Macaca fascicularis: one gene and its partner. The protein of the gene in region 1 purifies or fractionates together with the protein of each later gene. This does not show direct contact. Links are inferred from orthologs where the notes say so. Each region holds a gene or a part of one and is shown in the gene's direction. Other genes may lie near its edges.

The links. The genes of interacting proteins can lie anywhere in the genome.
Region 2: the proteins of MAP1LC3A (region 1) and CLTCL1 purify together in Homo sapiens (affinity purification with mass spectrometry; 3 studies listed by BioGRID and IntAct, with this or other methods). This does not show direct contact. The link is inferred for Macaca fascicularis from reciprocal best matches to the Homo sapiens genes MAP1LC3A and CLTCL1.

The regions. Positions count from the first base shown.
Region 1 is NC_088384.1:90,598,386-90,601,918, forward strand, and holds MAP1LC3A (microtubule-associated protein 1 light chain 3 alpha), read left to right. Parts: upstream 1-1,297; 5' UTR 1,298-1,448; coding exon 1,449-1,509; intron 1,510-1,817; coding exon 1,818-1,873; intron 1,874-1,956; coding exon 1,957-2,063; intron 2,064-2,332; coding exon 2,333-2,495; 3' UTR 2,496-2,933; downstream 2,934-3,533. Other genes in the region: PIGU (phosphatidylinositol glycan anchor biosynthesis class U protein), read right to left, coding at 3,445-3,533. UniProt on the Homo sapiens protein: Ubiquitin-like modifier involved in formation of autophagosomal vacuoles (autophagosomes). While LC3s are involved in elongation of the phagophore membrane, the GABARAP/GATE-16 subfamily is essential for a later stage in autophagosome maturation.
Region 2 is NC_088384.1:33,664,092-33,666,645, forward strand, and holds the end of CLTCL1 (clathrin heavy chain 2), read left to right. Parts: intron 1-614; coding exon 615-690; intron 691-1,182; coding exon of another isoform or gene 1,183-1,202; exon of another isoform or gene 1,203-1,222; intron 1,223-1,450; coding exon 1,451-1,590; 3' UTR 1,591-1,954; downstream 1,955-2,554. UniProt on the Homo sapiens protein: Clathrin is the major protein of the polyhedral coat of coated pits and vesicles. Two different adapter protein complexes link the clathrin lattice either to the plasma membrane or to the trans-Golgi network.

The DNA.
Region 1 (3,533 bases):
ACTTCCTAAAACACCTTAACTCTGATTGCCCTCTCAGTCTCCCATGTTCTTCTGTCTCATGCATCTTGTTTCTGTGGCCCACAGATTATCCATTATTCATGTTGCATATTAAATACTTGTTTAGATTTACTGACATGTTTACTAATTTGCTCACCATTTTTCCATCTAATTTCTTCCTTTTGGGTTCCATGTCTTTGATACTGAAGTACATTCTTTAAAAATTATTTTGGCGGCTGGGCGCAGTGGCTCACGCCTGTAATCCCAGCACTTTGGGAGGCTGAGGCGGGCGCATCACGAGGTCAGGAGATCAAGACCATCCTGGCCAACATGGTGAAACCCCATCTCTACTAAAAACATAAAAAGTAGCTAGGCGTGGTGGCAGGCGCCTAATAATCCCAGCTCCTTAGGAGGCTGACTGAGGCAGGAGAATCGCTTGAACCAGGGAGGCGGAGGTTGCAGTAAGCTGAGATCGCACCACTCTAGCCTGGCGCAAGAACGAGACTCCCTTTCAAAAAAAAAAAAAGATGTTGATCTTCGGTCTGTGCCTTCTGCTCTGGATTTTAAGCATCATTTCTGGCAGCTCTCATTCAGGAACTGCCTCTGCAGGTCTTTCAGTGCTCGCCTGTGGAGCTCTGCTCCGGCCTGCGAGTTCTCCTGGCGTTGCCATCCGTGGCCTTTTCCTTTTAATTCTCCATCACCTGTCCTCTGGTAAGCTGCTTGCTATCAGCCTCCAGGTCCACGATTTCTCTTCTGTTGTCCTGCTCTGCCTTCTTGCCACATCCTCTGAGACCTGAATTTCGATAGCTCTACTCTTCAATTATATTATTCTTTTTCAAACCTGGGCGTTCATTTCTAGCGTCTTGCTCTATCCTGTGTCTGACTGTGCCTCCCGCACCTTCTCCCTTCTCTTGCCCTGAGCCCCCTTGAAGGCGCCGGGCCTTTGGCTCCCGCTGTTTCCCACGGTGCCCAGAACCGCGGGTCAGTCCTGACACAGACTCGGTGAGGGCAGGAAGTGGTGCCACGGGGCTGCAGCCTGGCCCACCCGCTCCATCGGCCCAGGGCGGCCCCACCGCTCTCCCGGCCTCACCAGAGTCGGGGCCACGGGAGAGGCTCCCGCGCTGCTCATGACGTCACGGGACTGTGACGCGCCCAGGAGCCCCGCCCCTTGTGTCCCGGGCCGGGGACCCAGGCTCTCTGCGCCGTGACGTCACGGGTCCGGGCGGGCGGGTTGTGCGTCGGCCCAATGGGAGCTGCGCGCCGGCCTCCCCTTTAAGGAATGTTGTGACCTGACGTCACCGGGCGAGTTACCTCCCGCAGCCGCCGCCGCCGTGCTCAGCGCGAGCGCCGGAGCCCTTGAGCGCGAGGCACGGAGCCCCCGGAGCCCCCAAACCGCAGCCACATCTCCGCGCCCCAGAGCCCCGGCCTGCGCGCCCAGCCGGGCCCGCGCGATGCCCTCCGACCGGCCTTTCAAACAGCGGCGGAGCTTCGGTGAGGCCCGGCAGGCGAGCTGTGAGCTCGGGGTAGGGGTGCCGGGGAGGGGGGGTGCCCGGCCGACCCAGACTGCCGCAGGTGACGTCAGCCCCGTGACGTCAGGCTTCGGCTGGACCCTCGGGCTGGGAGGCTGGCTCCGGCCTGGGCGGGGGCTGCCTGCTTCCCCACCACGATAGGTGCCAGGGGCTGTGGGGCCTGACGGCCCCGGGGGCGGGGGCTGGAGCTGGGGCGTGGCCGGGGGCCGCCCCTTGGGGACAGGCAGGCGGAGACGTGGGGAGGACCTGGGCCGGGCCGACCCGGCCTCACGGTCTGGCCGCTGTCCGCAGCCGACCGCTGTAAGGAGGTACAGCAGATCCGCGACCAGCACCCCAGCAAAATCCCGGTAAGTCCTGCGCCCCCAGCCCTGCCCCGGCCCCGCCTCGCGCGTCCCCGACACAACCCCCTGCCCGCCCGCCCTGCTCCCAGGTGATCATCGAGCGCTACAAGGGTGAGAAGCAGCTGCCCGTCCTGGACAAGACCAAGTTTCTGGTCCCGGACCATGTCAACATGAGCGAGTTGGTCAAGATCATCCGGTGCGTGGGCAGCCGCTGCCAGGTGGTGGCTTGGGTCGGGAAGGGAGACGGGTTCCCGCCGAGAAGGGGTCAGGGGTGATGGGACCGGTGGTGGACCCCTGTTCTGGGGCGGCTGGAAAGGTCAAGGTCGGGGCTGCAGTCGGTGCCGGGTCAGAGGTGACAGGTGGGGTGAGGATGGGTGTAAAAGGCTGGGAATCATTCTGGGGGTCAGGGCTACGTTGCCCCGTAGCCAAGCCCCTTACAGCCACATACTCTCCCGCCTGCCTCAGGCGCCGCCTGCAGCTGAACCCCACGCAGGCCTTCTTCCTGCTGGTGAACCAGCACAGCATGGTGAGCGTGTCCACGCCCATCGCGGACATCTACGAGCAGGAGAAAGACGAGGACGGCTTCCTCTACATGGTCTACGCTTCCCAGGAAACCTTCGGCTTCTGAGCCAGCAGTAGGGGGGTCGGCCTGGGAGTGGGGGGGGCCCGGTCAGGCCCTGCCCAGAGAGCTCCTGGTTCCTGAACTGAGCTGCCTCTGCCGTGGTGGGCTGGGCAGGCATGTGCCCCCCTAGTCAGAGGGCAACCCACCTACTCTGCCCCTGGGTGGATCCTGGGCCGGTTGTGTTAGGGTTGTCCCTCTGGGTGCTGGCTGGGATGGGGGAGGGTTGGGAGCAGCCCCCAGCACCCCGCTGTGTGGTTCATCTTTTTTTTAGGCCCCTGCCTGTCTGCCCATCTGCCCCTCACCCACCCAAGGCTCTGCCCACGCCTGGACCTGCCCACCCCTGAAAGACTGGCCCCTGGCTCCCCGCCCCTCGGTCTCCACATGGTGTATGGATCTGTGGTCATTGTCCCTCTGCAGAATAAAGATTGCTCAGGCCTGCCTGGCCCTGTGCCTCCAGCTGCTTGCTTGGGAGTGGGAAGGGTGCTGGTAGGGCTGTCTGCACCATCCCCGGGCTCTGGCGCACAGACTTGTGTTCTGTGGCCTCAGTGCTTGCTGTGGAAACCCACACCTGTGTGTAGTGTTCAGAACATTAGGGGCCACCCCTCTAGGAGTGCAATGCAGATGTGGTCTCAGGGTAGACTTCATAACAAAAAACATTTATTAAGTAGCTACAACCTAACAAGCCCTGCTCACCTGCCTCTTCTCCTTCCTGCCTGGGAGGGGGCTCCTTGGTGTGCAGAGCCACGAAGTGGGGGGGTCCAAGTTGGGGAGCTTCCAGTTCTTCCCCACAGGCCTTACTATCAGCCATGGGTCTCTTGGTACCAGAGACTTGTGACCCTGGACTCGAACCTCTTCTGCCCGAGCACTCGCCTGCTGGCAACTCTGACTGGAGGGCTTGGCCCAGCTTCTGGCCCCTCAGCCCCCTGAGGTCCACAAAGCCCTGTGCCAGCCAGGCCTACTTGAGCACAAGCATGGCCTCTGTGCCGTCCTTGGCGGTCAAGTAGAGGCCGTGTGTGAGGTAGTACTCCCGCCGCAGGAAGGCAT
Region 2 (2,554 bases), about 57 Mb from region 1:
GGATCTTAGCTGCACAGTTGCTGCCGCCCCTCCAGTGCAGTGCTGCCGCCTCACTCTCTGGCCATGGGTGGGGTCAGTGTCTGGTGAAGCCTCAGGGAAGAGTGAGGAGGCAGTTTGTCCTCAGTACTTCTCAGGTGAAGTGTCTAGGTGCCAGGTGACTTGTCTCTGAGAGCCACATGATCTCTCTGCTGGTTTGGAGGGGCGGGCAGACTAGACTGACTGGATTCAGCAGCAGGCAGTGTTCCCTGCACATCCCAGCCCTGCAAGTCAGTAAATGGCAGTGTCCCTGTATCCAGAGGAGGACTTGGCCCCCCATAAGCAGGCCACACTCACAGCCTGTAACAACTGACTGCCCCAGTCCCCACTGGGAAGCTCTGGGGGCCCCACCTTTTGCTCCATCTCAGCCCAGCTACTGAGGCTTCACCTCTCCATGCCTTGCTGCATTATAAAAGTGCATGGGGTGAGGACTGAGCCACTCCACCTCTGCCCATGTGCACCTCCTCCACTGTCATTCTCCTGGAGGCCCTGTGTCCTGACCTTCCACTCTACTTTCACCTAGAGGCCGGGACTGCACTCTGTCAAGCAGGTGCTCACATGCTCTCGCCTCCTTGCAGGTGGACAGACTGGATGCCTTGGAGAGTCTGCACAAGCAAGAGGAGCATGTGATGGAGCCGGCCCCTCTCATGTTTGGTAGGTGTCACCTGTAGCCCCCAACCCCCTGGGGAGGGAGAAGGGAGGGAGTCAAAGTCCCACTGCCCTTTCCTGGCTGGGCTTTGAATGAGGATGGGAATAGATGGGTGGGGGCTGGAAGGATCCCACTGGCTGCTGGGTGTGGAGATGTGTACGTCCAGGAATGTTGGCATGGCCACTGTCCTCCCTGCTGTAAGGGTGCCTGCCTTCCGATGGGGCTGCCTGCCTAGCTGTGAACTGCTGCTGTGTCCTGCTGGGCCTGGCCCCTGGGCAGCAAGGCTGTTGCTGGTGTGTGCTGGGAGGAACTTTGCACCTGAGAACCTGCCCAGGGCAGCCTGGCTGTCGAGCAGACTGGAGAGACTGTGGGGTGCTGGGACACTGCTGGGTCAACGCAGGCCTGAGGATGTGGTGTGAGTGTGTAGCATGCTGGTGGGTCTCAAGCCTCCTGCTGAGTGTGTCCCTCCACCATTAATGCCATTCTGGTTTTTTTAGATTTTGATGGGCATGAATGAGACCCAGCTGATTGCACTAAGTAAGTGTCCCATTTGGGGACTAGCTTATCCTCTAGCCAGGCCAGCTTCTCTGGCTGACCACACACTCCTTGCCTCTGGGTGCCTACTCTCTCGGTGCCTCAGCTTCTGGGTGGTAAGGGCTGGTCCTATAGACCCTGCTTCCTGGGCCCCAGCTACTCAGGGTAGCCAGGAGAGGACCCCCATGGGCAGGAAGAGCTCTGCTCATTGTGGGCTTTCCCCCTCTGCAGGCCAGCAGCTGAGGTTGATAGCAGGCCCTGCCAGCTTCCCCTATGGATATGCCTGTGCTCCCAACTTCACCAGCCTCCAATGTACAACTTCTGCGTGTAGTGGGCGCTGTCTCCACCCACTCTACCTGCAGAGTTACTAACTTCTCCAAGGAGTGTGTCACTCCAGCAGCACAGGGGACCGCAGTGGGAGGCAGGGACACCTGGACAATATTTATTTTTGGTGAAACCCAATGATGGCAACCTCTGAGCCATCCTAGAGCCTGGGGAGGCCAGGGTAGAGGCTGACAGCGCAAGACCATCTTCAGCCGCCAGCAGGGTCTGGACTCTGGGCCCTCCTGCTGGAGCCAGGGATTCCTCCTGGGCGCCCCCGACTGGCTGGAGCTGCCCCCTCCAGGCCAGTTTGAAGACTACGTGAACACGTCTTGTTTGGAGGTACCGGACCTCATAACAGGACTCTGAGCCTCCTGGCAATCTGAAATATTAAAGTCGGTTTATCCAGGCAAAGGTGCTCTGCTTGGTGCTGGTGTGGGTGGGAGGGACAGGGGCCAGTTTCCTAGGCCCCGCAGTCCATTAAAGATTTGCTGGGCCCTCTGGGGGTGTGGGACCTGCGCCCAGAGAAGCTGCCTAGGAGAATACAGCCGCTTGCATTTGGGGTCTTTCCGGACCTTGTTCGCTGAATGCAGGAACTCTAAATCCGGGAAAGGTGTGGGTGGAAACCGGCAGGTGAGTCCCAGCCCGTGGCCGCTGCGGGAGGGGGACCCGGCGGCGTAGCCCCTTCTCACTGGCCACCCGCCTTCCTCCTCCAGCTTCGAAACGTTAGAGTTCCTCAGGAACTGGGCTAGCCCCACGTGTTTTCGGGGAGGGTATGCCCCTGGCCTCCGGGATCCCCGGGGATCCCGCTGCTCTCGCCAGTCGCGCAGACCCGAGGCCCGCTTCCCTGCGGAGCGGCATACTGTGCACCTTGACCCATAGCTCGGGGCTGGGCCACGGCTCCGCTTCTCGCAGCCCCGCCTCCCGCAGCCCCGCCCCCGCCCCCGCCCCGCCGCTCGCGGTCGCCCAGAGACTCGGCCATTGGCTGCGCTTTGGCCCCGCCCCTACGCCTGC